Linked DNA regions of Coturnix japonica. The protein of the gene in region 1 purifies or fractionates together with the protein of each later gene. This does not show direct contact. Links are inferred from orthologs where the notes say so. Each region holds a gene or a part of one and is shown in the gene's direction. Other genes may lie near its edges.

Region 1 (7,169 bases):
AAGTTGATTTTTATGTGTACAATTTGTTTTTCTCTCTCCAGACTGGAAGAATAGAAGCATGCTTTCCACTGAGACTTACACTAACATTTGTGATACAGAATGTCTCTAAGTGAGAAGAACAGCGTGGTTTTTGCGTATGAGTCTTCAGTGCACAGTACTAATGTACTTCTCAGTCTCGATGACCAGAGAAAGCAAGATATTCTTTGTGATGTTACTGTTTTAGTGGAAGACCAGCGATTTCGGGCTCACAAAGCTGTGCTTGCAGCTTGCAGCAGTTACTTCCTTTCAAGAATTGTGGGCCAATTGGATGCTGATCTTATCATTACTTTACCAGAAGAGGTGAGTGTTGTTTGCTTCTGTATTGTACCTACCCATGCTTTTGGTTTGTTTTGTTCAACTCTCAGCTCTGTTTTACAATTACCAATAGAGATTATCAATAAAGAGAAGAGAGTTAAGAACTGAGGGAAGGAAATTTCTAAGCTGTAAAGCTGCTGCTGGTTGAGATAAAGACTGAATAGACTAGAGTGAACATTGCAGACTGGAGATAGATAAATGCTCTCCTGGGGTATATGTAGGGTATATAAGTTCAATAATGTGTTTATTACTCTTAAATTAGTGCACTATATTCTAAGCATGTAAGTTTGTCAAAAAAAAAAAAAAGAAAAAAGAAAAAAGGAATATTTTGGGAATAATATGCAAATTAATGGTACTGTAATTTGCCCTTGAAATTAGCATTTTCAAGGTTTAGTTTAAGAATATCTGAGAATACAGCTGTGCTTGTATTCATTGCTTCCAGCTTCTTGTTGACTTTCTGTGCTTCAGTTCCCTATTCTTTTTGTACACTCATTGTTAGCAGCTTGATCTCCTTTTCTGCTATATTTATGCTTTAAAGCCAAGAACAATTGCTTGCTTTTTCACCTTAAATAAATATTTCTAAATCAGATTGAATTTAAAGGCATTTAGGGGGAATGAGCCGGAACCTGTCATGCATAGGAAAGCAATTTGGTTATCAGATATCTGAAGCATCTAAGACATTCAAAGATTCCAGTTGGTATTTAGTTGAAAGCATTTCAGATTCTTAAGTACCATCTGAAATCTTCAAGTGCCATGAGGCAAACAACTGTTTATATGAAACATTGTGCTTGTAAATGAAAAGTCAAAAGCCTTCAAGTACTCTATGCCCAGAAGCAGAAGTAAGCTGAAGAACTGGTACATGATCAGCGACTTTCTGGGAGGCTGTTTCTGGTAAACAGCTTGGGAAGGGAGTTAAAAATAACATGAAAATTGTTGGCAAGTCATCTAGAATCATTAAAGCCAGGAGGAAATGTGCGTGACAATGAATATCTGTAGTGACGTCACTTCAGCAACTTGTTTGTGTACAAGAGCAAGTTGAACACTACCTTAACATAATTATGTATTCAGAAAGCCTGTATCTTCCTAAAATAGCTCATTCACTAGCTCTATAATATATAAACACAAGGATTCTCTGTAACTGTAATATCTGATTACTGAAAACCAAAAATGATCACATCATCTCTTTTGATGTGTTTTGATGAATTTGCTACAAACTGATGTTACGCCATGATAACACTGTCAGCTTTATTCATTCTTCCTGTTGCCTCTGTATGTTCGTTTCTTCTTCCCTCTCTTCTCTATAGTGGCTTAGCATGTTAATAATGCAAATAGTATGAGTGAGATAAATCCTTTTAAGCCTGCAACTTCACAACATTGTCTAGTACTACTGATGTAAAAGCTGAATGTGCTGCAATAACAAGCAAAAATACCAGCAGAGCATCTTATCTTCTGATAATTTGATCTCATCACTTGGTAAAAAACACTTTGTGAAATTGGAGCTTGTCTTTTGGAAACTGCTAAATGTTTTGAAATGAGTCAGTTTATGAAACTGAGTACTTGAGAGGGACAAATAAATAAATACTAATTGGCTTGGCAATTTCTTAACCCTTTTGATCATCCAAAGTTTTTGAAGTTCAAAATAAAATATGCCGGTCCAAAACGTGAAATACTTGAATATTGACATTAACTTGTTTCATATAGATCATCAAAGCTAACCGGTGACACCTTGCTGTCAGTCGCTTCTATTGTCTTCCTACAGAAGTTACACTCTGAAATTAGACTGCCGTCAGCAATACAGATGAAACAAATAGCTTCTGCCAGACTTCTCTTCATTCAGACCAACAGTCTTTCCAGTGATAGATCATGTTTGAGGAAAGCTAGCTAGAAAATATGGGAGAAAATATGAGGAGCAAAGTGTTTTTTGTTCTGTAAATCTTTCAATTTATTTATTCTTTTTTAGCAAGGAGTGGTAAATGAAGTATGTACAATTTTGAAACATATTCGTTTGGTTTGGTTTCATGTATGAATGTAGTCTGTTTACAACCAATAAATCTTATTTATTTATAGTAGGTATAAATATACCTTGCAAGCACATAGATAAACTCTTTTCCTTTTCACTTTTTTTTTTTTTTTTTTTTTGAGGATGAATTAAGAATACTGACCAGATCACCATGTTGTCTTTAGGGTATATTTGAAACATTTTTAGAATTCTTTAGGTTTAAGAGTTTTCAGAATATTTTGCTAAGCTGTCTGCATAGATCACTTCAACTGCCTTTTATTTGGTATTTCCATGTTCTTTAGAAATAAAAAGCCCAGTGTGTGGGCTTGGGCTATAGTAGTAATAATAATGGACATACTCCATTTTATTTTTACTTGCTAAAGGAAGTAGCATGTAACTTTTAATATGACTGTGTTGCAGAAAGGAACCAGGTCGAGACTCGAACTCGTGGGTACTCCAGGGTTGATTTTATTAACAAGCTCAGTGCTCAGGTGAAACATGCATACAGAGCTTGGGTCACTCCTAGTGAATGACCCTTAAGCTTTACAAACGTCCTATATTTATATGATTAGGTAAACATTACATCATTTATGTTATTCATTTCTCGTGATTAATCAATACATCTTCAGTCCTTCTTTCTCGTGTTTCATCCTAGGCCCAGGCTTCATGCTTCACGTGTTACTCTTCTTTTGAACTTGTCCAAAAACTCATTATCTTCTTTCATCCGAGCCATCCGGGCTAGACCAGTCCATTCCATCTGTCTTATGGTTAAACTATACATTTTAACTGTTTAACTACTAAATAGCAATGTCAGCACTATTATTGTCTACCTCTGCTGTTTCATAACTTCACAATACTCTAACACCCCTACATGGGTCATGGTTCAGGGCTATACAGGGGATACATGAGTAGCATATTGGTTGAGAAATTTACCATTTTCCCTAACAACTGTCTGTTTACACCTTTCTACCTGCTTTCTTAGTAATTTTTTCAATGATAAGCAGGATTGTTTATCTTTGAATTCCCTTTTAGGTAACTGCTCTGTAGTAGAAGCTGAGTTGATAATGATGGAACTGTTCCAAAAGGCTTACCTTCTCCAAAGAGACTGTAACTGCTGTTGGCTTAGGGTTTTGGTTACTATTCTTTTTGTCCATGAGAGGAAGAAAGGCATAGATGGCTACAGTAGTAAATAATTGTGTGCGGTCAAACTCAATTACTTCAAAGTTCTTTATATCAGTGATGCATGAAACTGAGCAAATAGCAGTAATTGCTCTTTAAAGGAATGATTCATGCCAGCAGCGTTTTGATCTTTCTCAGGAATAACTCACGTGTAATTTTACTATGGAAATTATCTTTATAAAATTTGAGTCCCTCTCCTGGTTTTCAGATTACAGCAATAAATTTCACTTTTTAGTACTGTATTATGAGAGTTGTTTAAGAGGTTGATCACAGTGAAGAAAATAACTGCCATATAAAATATACAGGATATAATTATTTCTTATTTGCTTCACAATGTGTGTGGCCAGATTTCCTTTCTGAAGCAAAACTGCTGCTTGTCTCTCGTTCTTTGTCCTGATGGCATGACTTTCTGAATACAGGATGTGAGTTCTGGGTGTTTAAGCCCATGTACATGTTGGGACTGTAACTAGAAACTTGGCAACCTAACTACTACCCAGTGAAACAGAAGTGGATAAGTGGGGCCTTGTTCTTTTTTATGTGGTTTGCACTGGTAAATGGGAAGCAAGAGAGTTTCACCAAGCAGGAAGTTGGCCGTGCTAATTTTTTTCTTGTTTTTCTTCCATAGGTAACGCTTAAGGGATTTAGCCCCTTGCTTCAGTTTGCATACACAGCTAAACTTATTTTGAATAAAGACAACGTGTCTGAAGTTTGCAAGTGTGCTGAATTCTTGGGCGTACGGAACATTGAAGAGTCTTGCTTTCAATTTCTCAAATTCAAGTTTTTGGACTGTAAATCAGATCAAGAGTGGCCTAGGAAGAAATGCTGCACACAGCATTGTAGGAAAGTAAATCCTAAAATTAGCAACGTGGATGATGGAGACCTAGAAATAGACGATGAAGCGGAAGAACTTCTAGAAAAAGAATATATTCAAGCCTCTCATGCAAAGCTCTGTAAAGATGATGACAGTGCTAAAGCATCACCTGCCCTTCAAGATAATGCCAACCCAACCTCAGATCCTATGCATTTAGAAAAAGGTAATGTTTCCAGCTCATCTTCCCAGTGCCCCAAGTATAGGAAATTCCAGAAAGCTTTTGGAAATGACAAAGTTCATACTTCAGATTCCAGTTCCAGTACTAAAGATGTTCAGGTGCCACCAATTGTAACCTTTATCGAGAAGGAAATACCTGATAATGACAGCCCAACAAAAGCTCAGGAGTGCGTACCTATGCAGCTGGTCTCGAAGTGTGAGGAGACTCAGGTAAAAATGGAAGAAGGGGAGGAAGACATTGAGAAAAAAGAAGAATCAAAGAGAGATTCTGTGACTCAAGGCATCTCATGTCCTGTGGAGAAAATGGATGTTGCTGCTTTCCCCCAAAACACTGCTGCGCCTCATGGACTTAATTCTGTGTCTTTTTTACGTACTTGTGAGCAATATGGTAACTTCAGTAGCATGCAAAGCACCACAACCTTATCAGAAAAAACTGCAACAGGTACTGGAGCTGAAAGTGACAAATTTGAAAGTCATGACAATGCAACTTTAAAGGTTGATTTGTGTACTAGGGAAGCCATTAACGTTACATCAACTGGTGATCGAAGCAGTGTGGAGAGAGAGGTAGCAGAACATCTAGCAAAAGGGTTCTGGAGCGATATTTACAGTACAGAACGCTGTCAAATCCACTTACCTTCTGCAGTGCCAAAAGAACGCTTGGAGCCTACGTATTCAGCAAAGAAATCAGAGTGTCCGTGGCTGGGTATCAGAATCAGTGAAAGTCCTGAACCTTGCCCTCCGCGAACTTTTACAACGTTGAGTTCTGTCAACTGCCCCTTCATAAGCAATCTTAGTACTGAAGGATGCTCCAACAGCTCTGAAATAAGCAGTGGAGATTATGTTCAAGGGCAACAGCAAGAACAGTGTCCCTATAATTACGTGATAAGTTTGGGAGAGGATTCAGAAACTGATACTGAGGGTGACAGTGAATCCTGTTCAGCTAGAGAACAGGAATGTGAGGTAAGAACATTCTTGTTATCCTTTGCTTCCCTGTCTCTTAAGGCCCTTCTCAGAAATCTAGTTCTGCAATATAGTTTCATTACTTCTTGTTGTAAAACCTTGGAAAATGGAAGTTAAAGTAAACGTTTGAAGGCTTATGTGGGAGAAAACTGTTAAGTCAAGGAGACTTTAAATATTTGGAAGGACACTGAAGTGATAGATGCTTAGGTGTTAGATCTCTTCGGATATGTTTCTGGAATAACCTTATGATCAACTTTTGACTTTTAAATCAAGTACTGTAGAGGGTTTTTTTAGGTTTTTTCTCTTTTTTTTGTCTACTTCATTTAAAATTAATTCTAAAATTCATGGTGTGTTTTATAGAAACTTGATTATGGAAACATGTTCTTCTTCAGACTTGAGAAGGTGGGAGGGAAATAACACTTCGCATTACCTGCAAAAGGAGAAGACAAGTTTTAAAGCTGGCAACAGTAGTTGTGCATTTAAGAGTGTTTTAATAGCATCGCTTTCTCTGAAACTTAGGTTACATTTGTTCTCTCCAAATGCAGAAAATGTTTGGCACTTCTTTCCAATGTGTCATTGCTTTGGTAGGATTTTAGACAGATGCCCTAAGTAGTCAAATACCAAGTGGTTCTATTGCATATGTAAAATGACTTCAGTGGTAGTTACTAGGATTGTAGAATAGCAGGGTGCCTCATTTTGCTGTGGGACATTGAAGGGACTTTTGCCGTAAATGGAAGCAACAATTCCTGTAGCAGGTTGGCAGGTCAAATAAAGGGCTGGGATAGGCTTAAAAGCATTTCTCATCTCTACATTATGAAGAAGTAAATGGCATAGTGAAGGCAGTACTCTTCCCCTTGGGTTACATGGGATAGGCAAACACAAAAAGGATGTTTTTCTTTCCAAATCAATTTCAGATACTTGACTACAGTAATGGAATAAATTTTGCTTCTTAATTCATTCCAGTTTAGGGGTTGTAATAGTGTCTTTAACTGCATACTTAAGAATTCTTTATAGAGGTAAAGATGGTTTTCAGTATTTGTCAGAGCTGTATGATCTCTGTATGTTTCCGAAGCTCTTGCTTCTGTAGCTGAGGTGTATGTTGAGTAGCAGCAGCATTAAGGTGTATAAAACAAGCGTCAGCTACCTGTACCTTCCCTGTTTTTAAGTAGATGCCTATTTCAAATGAACTTTTCCTGCAGAAAATGTAAGGTATAAAAATTTATACAGAATACAGGCTTATCAAGTTAGAGGGAACTTCAGGGTGCAGTTGTGATTCTTGACCCCTATTTTATTTGCCTGCTAACAGTAACTTACTTGCCTAGAATGTATCACTAAAGTGATTCCCTGTACACAGGGATAGACTTCAGCCTACTTGAATAAGCTTTTGATGATGTAGTGTAAATGTTCAGGGTACTCTGTTACTTTGCTCATACTTGAGTTCATCTGCTTGAAGCCCCTATGATTTTATCTAGTTCCCCCAATGTCTCTTCTAGCTTGCTCTTGTTTCTGAGTTGTAGGGATAAGGTGTTGTGGTAAAGAACACTTAACATTTAAAACTTGAGATGATCTGTTGGAATATATGTTTATCAGTTTCACCTTTGGGCTTATAATTGTACCTTACGTTCTAGG
Region 2 (7,611 bases), on another chromosome or scaffold:
AAGCCAATGGGGGCAGCTGTGGAGGATATTGTACCCCACAGCAGCTCTGCTCTGTGTTGTTTGGTGCTGCGACTAAAGATTTCACATTTAAGTTTTGCCCACTTTGACTTAAAGGGGGGAATTTGGTGCACAGGAGTCTCTCTGTTCCTCTGCTCTTGGGATCCCCTTACTGTTTAAAATGCCAAGTATGCACTAAAGCTCTTGATTGATTTATTTATTTTTCCTTCTTTCTTTCTCTCTATCTTTAATGATTTTCTACCCTAAGAAACTCTCTGCCTTCTGCCCCACACCTAAAGTGATCAGATGTATGACCAACACCCCTGTGATTGTCCGAGAAGGTGCCACAGTCTACGCCACCGGGACTCACGCAGACGTGGAGGATGGGAAGCTCTTGGAACAACTAATGGCCAGCGTGGGCTTCTGCACGGAGGTGGAAGAGGACCTGATAGATGCTGTGACGGGGCTCAGTGGCAGTGGCCCTGCGTATGTAAGTGCTGCATTCTCAGCTCATGGAATTGCTGGGGACACTGGTGGGTTCTGCGTGCACTGAAAGTCTGTGCATGTTCAGTGTGTGGTTTTTTTATCTCATCACTGATGTTCTTGATGGAACATGTAATCCAGGTATCCAGTTTATGACCGCTGTGGGTCAACAACAAAAGCCTATTACCAGTTGGATGGGTCTGAAGTCCATAACCAATGTGCAGTGTCCACATCTGTGTTGCAAAATCTGGGCCTGTTGTTAGGATGACCTAGAAGCTGAATTTCTTCCATTCTCCCTACATCTCAGCTGGAGCTGGTGGGAGAGAAGCATGGCATGGCAGCAGTGCAGTAAAGGGGCTGACTTTTGTCAAGTCTTTGTAAGTGACAGGAGTCACAGTGTGATCCTAGAGCTGTGGATTCTGCCTTCTGTAAGAACACCGGTCTCAGAATAGAGACTTTCAGTCCCTTTTTTCCTCTGTCTGATCTCAGGCTTTCACTGCCCTGGATGCTCTGGCTGATGGAGGTGTGAAAATGGGGCTTCCCCGTAGGCTGGCTGTTCGGCTCGGAGCCCAGGCTTTGCTGGTTAGTATTGCTTCCTCCAAAATGCTCTTGAGACTCCTTCTAGTTTTATAGTCTTATAGTTTAAAATGATTTCAGTTCCCTTACTGAATATATTTCAACAAACATACAGAGTTCTGATTGTTGTTTTCTATTCCTCGCCACAGGGCGCTGCCAAAATGCTGTTGGAATCAGAGCAGCACCCAGGTCAGCTGAAGGACAACGTCTGCTCCCCTGGGGGAGCCACCATTCATGCCCTGCACTTCCTGGAGAGCGGAGGCTTTCGCTCCCTGCTCATCAATGCTGTGGAGGCTTCCTGTATCCGAACAAGGTGGGCACTGAGAAATCCTTAAGAGCCATCAACACTCCTCTCTTTCTATTCCTTACCATCTCTCTCTTCTACCACCCCATGGCAGGCAGCTGCAGCATTTGGCAGACAAGGAGAAGATCTCCCCAGCAGCCATAAAGAAGACTTTGTTGGATAAGGTGAAGCTGGAGTCTCCTTCTCTTTCTGTGGCATCTACCAACAAAGTCAGTCTGTTCAACAGTAAGAACCCCAGCAGCAAGAAGAACTGAGCAGGCTGCCGTCCTGCTGTACTCTGGCTGCACTGACCATCACTTCCCTTTATGCCCTTTCTTTTTTGACTAAGGAAAACATTCACGCTGAATGTTGGTGTTTTCCATACCCGACTCTCAGCTTACAGCAGCCGTGGGGCAGCGCAGAGCTGCTCACTGTGGGCATGGGGAGCACCATACTCAGAGCTTTGTCAAGGGCACTATTTGCCAGAAGCCTTTGATGCTTCAGAACTGAGGTAGCATTTATTGTGTCCCGTGTAGAAACAGTTGGTAGCAGAATCTTTAAGAACTTTCCAACTGCTTTTCAGTCTCAAAGGTTTGAGTCAGGTCTGGATCCCTCTTTCCCCATCTTCCATCTGCTTTCAGAGCTCATCTCTTGTTTTTTCTTAGCTAGAGCAGCTGCTGTCACACCAATGCAGTGCTGTGCGCTGAGGCTGGGTTCTAATATGCTTCTCACCAGGGACCAAAGTGCCTCTGCCTCATTTCCCATCCGCTTTGACTTTAAATAGAGGGTCAATGTGAACCCCTCAGCCACACTGATTCATTCAGGGTGCATTCTTGGCAGTCATCCCCACAACAGCAGCTTTCTATGGCTTCTTTATAGCCACCATCCCCATAGAGTTCCCTCTTCTTCCAGAGCCCTGTCCTGGACCAGGAAGCAGCACCCAATGTTCACACTGCCCCGGTAGCTGCTGCTGGGCTGCAGTGGGAGCTGTGGGCTGGGGAGGATGGAAGGGATTTGGGTGGATCTCAGTGTCGTCCTGTTCTACCTTGATGTACACTGAGGTTCCTCCTTAGGAACCCAGAGCGTCTATGTGTGTGGTGCAAGAAAAGCATTTGGGGATCAATGCAGAGAACTCCACAGGTGCTGGCAGTGTCAGTGCGGTGCTGTGTCAGTTGGTACTGGGACAAGGCCGTGTAGGTGTGACGTGGCTGCTGCTCTTTCTGCTCCTTGAATAAACCATTCCTCTATCGGACCCGTGGCGGCTCCTGGTTGTGTTGGGTGGACGCAGCTCCGTGTCCCCGCCGTCCCACAGCCCGGCACTGAGCGCTCACCCGGCCCAGCTCCATTGTCCCCTCAGTCCTGCAGTGGTTGGAGCTGCGGACGCCCCAGAGCCGTGTCTGTACAAATGAGAACTGACGGGGCCGAAGTGGGGCGGTAACAAAGGCCCGACGGCAGCGGAGCTCCCATTGCTGCCCATTACTATCCATTGCTATCCAATGCTGCCCATTACTATCCATTGCTGCCCATTACTATCCATTGCTGCCCATTGCTATCTATTACTGCCCATTGCTATCCATTGCTGCCCATTGCTATCTATTACTGCCCATTGCTATCCATTGCTGCCCATTGCTATCCATCGCGCTTTGCTCGGTGCTGCCGCCCTGCTGGGCTCACACCGCGGCCGTTCCCATCCCCGCGGTCCCTTTAAGTCCCGGTCCCGTTCCATTCCTGGTCCCGCCCCGTTTCCCGCCCTCCCGGCGCGTCCCCTTTAAGGCGCGGGGCGGTTGCGCCGGGCGCTTCATGAATGGAGCCACGTGACCCAAACATCACGTGACGCGTCCGTGAGCGGCGGCGGCTCGCGGTCCCGGTCCCGGTTCGTGCAGCGCGGCCTGCCCGCCCCGCCCCGCCCCGCCCGGTCCAACGGCTCCGTCAGGACGTGACCGCAGCGAGCGCGGCCGGTGAGGGGCGGGCGGCGGCGGCGGCACCGAAGGGAGGAGGCGCGGCGCGGGCGGCGGGCGCGGCCCTGGCACCGGGCGGGGCGAGGCGGGGCGGCGAGGCGCGGCGGCCGGTCCCCGGGGGCGGGGCGGGAGCGGCCGGCGCTGACTCACGGCGGGGGCTCCGTGGCCGCCGGTCACCGCCCGGTTGGCGGCGCGCACGGCCCGGTCCCCGCCGCGGCCGAGCAACAGGTGCGCGGGGCCCCGCCGCTCCGCCCGCCCCGCCCCGCACCGGGTCCGCCCGGCGCTCAGCCCCCGCTCGGTCACACGGTGTCCCGGTGCCCGGTGGAGCTGGCCAGGCCGGAGGCGCAGCGCGGCGCTTCCCGACGGTTCACCCGCCGCGGGGCTCGGGCCGCTCCGCTCCTCCCGGCATCGCCGTGGGGTCACCGGGATCCCGCGGGACGGGCGGCGGCGGAGCCGCTTTAACGGGGGAAAGTGCGGGGTGTGTGAGCGGCGGGACGGGCCGCGTGGGGTCAGGGGAACAAAATAACAACACGGATAAACGGGAACGGGATCCCGCACCGGGGGGGGAGGGGAAGGAGAGCTCCGCGCCACGGCGACGTCACCGTGTTTACAGTGCGCGCGTGGCGAGGCGCCGCGATGGGGAACGGGAGGGAACCGGGAGAGAACGGGGAGAGAACGGGGAAACGGCTCCGCGCCGGGGGGGAATTGGCTGCGGCCGTGCTGAGCTCAGGGCTTTTGAGCGCCGGGCAATGTGTTGAGGCGGCATTTTGTTGCTGCAGTCAAAGCGTTGGGCACTTTGCAGTGCGATCTGCGGGAGCCTCTAAAAAGCCGAGCAATGAACGGGCTGCACAGCCGGGATGAGGCTGGTTCGGTGTGTGCCCCCGGCTCAGCTGCTGCCCCCCTCACACATAACAGCCCCGTGCTGTCCGTGCTCTGCTGTGTCTCTGGAAGGGGATGGAGGGTCCAAACTGGTGCTGCGTTCAGGCACAGCCCCGTCCCAGAGCCGCCCCCAGCACACAACATGCACTGTCCAGTTCCTCGGATACAGACACTGCAGCCTCGTGTCCCACAGCAGCGATGCTGTGGCTCAGGATGGGGAGCACTCCCTGACCCCCATCACAGCTCTGTGTCCCTGCACTCATCCCAGCCGTGTCCCCCCATCAAGCTCCTCTCATTTCTGTTCTCTCTCAGCACAGCAGCCCTGGTTGACCCGTCCTTTAGTGCCTCTATCTGTGCGTTTATCAATTTCTCTCAGCAGAAATGACAGTATGAGGTGCAAGGTGAGCACAGGCTCTGAGCTCAGGGCTGTGTGAGTTTCCTGCCCTGCACCCTGAGCTGCTCTACCTGTGCCCAGCCCCATCCAGTGTTTGTTTTTCCCAGCTCTGCTACAATGAAGGAAGTTTGAGTGTTTCCCGGTAGCAGGGAACCATTCAGCCCTGCAGGCACACATTACTGCAGCCATACTGACCCCAGCGTGCGGTCAGAGGGTTCCTCAGGGCCGGTGTTATGCCTCCCCCCAGTTATTCTCTTCCATCTGCCCCTTTTTCCAGCAGCCATTTTGTTTGTTAGGGTGGGGGGGGGGGGGAGGAAACAGAGCAAAGAAAGAGAAATAACAGCACGGGAAAGCACAGAACTGGTTGCAGGAGGCTGCAGTCTGCATGTGCTCCCCTCAATGCAGCCGCCTCCCTCGGTGGCAAAGTGACCCTTACGGCCACGCTGTCGGGTTGTCACGGCCGTCATGCTGCAAGGAACATTGTCCTCTGGGTATAAATAGCTGCCTCCTGGCAGGCTCCGGCCTTGGGGGAACATCTGAATTGTGCTGGTGTGCTCCGTGTCCTGCAGGACGCTGATCCCGCTCACCTCTAGCAGTCAGCGCCGGGCGCATTGCGGGAGCCTGAGCTGCAGCTGCTGGAGGAGCAGAAAGCCGTATTTGCTGACTGTACAGCTGGGTCTTGGCTGCAGCTCTGCCTCTTACGTCTAGCAAACAAAAGAGCAGCGAACGGAATTGCTGTTGGCTGGCACGGAAGGTACAAAGGTACTCATGGACTGCACCTGCACACAGACAGTGCTGGCCTTGCTGCAGGAAGCAGTGCCGGGCTGTGTGGGACAGACGTGGCTGCTGAGGATTCAGTTTGTTGGGGTGCAGTGGAATTCTGACCCGAGGTGTGAGGGGAGGAGGTGCATAGGGACAGGAGCAGGAGCCCAGGTATGTCTCTGTATGAAGACAGCCCCAGGAGCTGCTGTTATAGACCTGGAATGCTGTCCTCCCTGGCAGTGAAGGAGTCTGCTCCCCTCTGGTTTTGGCCTCCCTCGATCTTTGTTTTCTTATCTCTCAGCTCTGAAGATAAAGAGGGGAGAAGCTGGTGCAGCCCTGGCTTTGCTGGGGCTGATAGGGACTGCTCAGTGGGAAGGGTGTACGGCTGTAGGTCGGCTTTGGGTGACAAGAGCAGGGAGGGCTGCTGAGGAATCCCCAGATCAACTATGGGCTTCCCGTGTGCCCCAGCATCAAGCCATGGGTTTGGGCTGCCCATCCTCCCCACGGGAAGGGTCAGGTGCAGAACTCAGACTGTAACCCAGCCGTGCTGGCTTTGCTGGGGAGCACCAGCATTTTGGATAGGAGCAGTGGTGTTCAGCACCAAGCAGCTGCACCGTGATGGTGAGGCCATCCCCTCCACTCACCAGCAGTGTTGTGCTCCTGGACTGTGCCAGGCTGTGTCCTCAGGAGCATCGTGGGTCTGGCAGGACTCGCTGTGGGCAGCTCTGTGCTGGGCAGCGGGTGCACAGCGTGGGGCTGTGCTGCTGTGCAATGCTCAGGGGCTGTGAGGATGCAGCTGGGAGCAGAGGCGCGGGCTGCTGCCGTGCTGAGTCAGCGTGACTGGCCCTGAGCAGGCGTGCTCCGGACCTGGCTGCTGCTGCCAGGCTATTTTTAATAATGTGGCTTCCGTGTATTCTGGCTCCTCCTAGTTTTTTAATTTTCTCCCCCCCACACCCCAAACAAAAAAGCAGCATTGCTACAAGGCTCCGTGGTCATAGGGCTGGGGGAGGGCAGCAGGTTGTGCTCAGGGATAGAATCTGTTGCTGTACTGTGAGTCCGATGCAGTCAGGCTGAGTGCTGCCTGGGGAGGGCAGTGGGAGTGCCCCAGTGCGGGGTGTTGCTGCGGGGCTCCGTGCGGCTGCTCTGGCCCTGCTGAGAACCAACCCAGGGACTAACCTGACCTCCTTCCCTTCCAGAGCCTGACTGACGTGGCTGCCGTGTTATGACGACCCCCAACAAAGGAAACAAGGCCTTGAAGGTAAAGCAGCAGGTGGAGGATGGGGGTGTGGGCGGCTGCTCGAGGCTTCAGACCGCACACACTGCCTTCTCTTCTCACAGGTGAAGCGGGAGCCAGGCGAGAATGGGACCAGCCTGACAGACGAGGAGCTGGTGACCATGTCCGTGCGGGAGCTGAACCAGCATCTGCGGGGCCTGTCCAAGGAGGAGATCATCCAGCTGAAGCAGCGTCGGCGCACGCTGAAGAACCGAGGCTACGCAGCCAGCTGCAGGGTCAAACGCGTTACCCAGAAGGAGGAACTGGAGAAGCAGAAGGCAGAGCTGCAGCAGGAGGTGGAGAAGTTGGCCTCTGAGAACGCCAGCATGAAAATGGAACTCGATGCTCTCCGTTCCAAATACGAGGCACTCCAGAACTTCGCCAGAACCGTGGCCCGGAGCCCCGTCACCCCTGTGCGGGGCCCTCTCACCTCCAGCATGGGGCCCCTCGTCCCTGGCAAGGTCGCTACCACTAGTGTCATCACAATAGTGAAATCCAAAACGGACGCCCGGTCTTAGTGAAGCGAGTGTTGCCTGAGCTTGTCTGTGCAGGGCAATTAGGCACAAAACCAGCCTGGAATCCCCAAAGCACAAACCCTCCCCACACGGGTCAGGGTTCCTTCTACTTGGCCCAGGACTGGCCTGCTGATCGCTCTGGTTTTGTTTTGTTGTGTTCAGATTGGTATGAGCAGTGGTGATGCATCCCTTGTCCTGTGCAGACAGCACCTCCCACCCAACGGTCTGTAGCCCTCAGCTGCCCTTGGGACAGGCTGTAAGATCTCGGTGTTCTAGCCAAAGGAAGTCTGCGCTGCGCAGCGAGCGGCCCGGAGGGAGGCTTTCTTCCTGGAACCCCAGTTTTCAGTCACTTCCAAAGGCTTTATTTCATTACTCTTCCAGGTGGTGTATCCAGGTGCCTGACTGCCCGGCACCTGAACCTGCTGCTTTTGTCTCATCCGGTACCTGTAGTTGCAGCTGGGGTGTTCTGTGTAATAGATGTGGTATTCATT

What was found.
Region 2: the proteins of BACH1 (region 1) and MAFG purify together in Homo sapiens (affinity purification with mass spectrometry; 5 studies listed by BioGRID and IntAct, counting the BioPlex papers as one, with this or other methods). This does not show direct contact. The link is inferred for Coturnix japonica from reciprocal best matches to the Homo sapiens genes BACH1 and MAFG.

The regions. Positions count from the first base shown.
Region 1 is NC_029516.1:93,629,970-93,637,138, forward strand, and holds part of BACH1 (transcription regulator protein BACH1), read left to right. Parts: intron 1-41; 5' UTR 42-99; coding exon 100-339; intron 340-4,157; coding exon 4,158-5,540; intron 5,541-7,168; coding exon 7,169-7,169. UniProt on the Homo sapiens protein: Transcriptional regulator that acts as a repressor or activator, depending on the context. Binds to NF-E2 DNA binding sites. Plays important roles in coordinating transcription activation and repression by MAFK.
Region 2 is NC_029533.1:4,417,857-4,425,467, forward strand, and holds the start of MAFG (transcription factor MafG), read left to right. Parts: upstream 1-3,138; 5' UTR 3,139-3,297; intron 3,298-3,506; exon of another isoform or gene 3,507-3,525; intron 3,526-4,899; exon of another isoform or gene 4,900-5,332; intron 5,333-5,357; exon of another isoform or gene 5,358-5,503; intron 5,504-5,528; exon of another isoform or gene 5,529-6,382; intron 6,383-6,528; 5' UTR 6,529-6,554; coding exon 6,555-6,590; intron 6,591-6,670; coding exon 6,671-7,123; 3' UTR 7,124-7,611. Other genes in the region: PYCR1 (pyrroline-5-carboxylate reductase 1, mitochondrial), read left to right, coding at 266-487, 970-1,062, 1,206-1,369, 1,455-1,614. UniProt on the Homo sapiens protein: Since they lack a putative transactivation domain, the small Mafs behave as transcriptional repressors when they dimerize among themselves.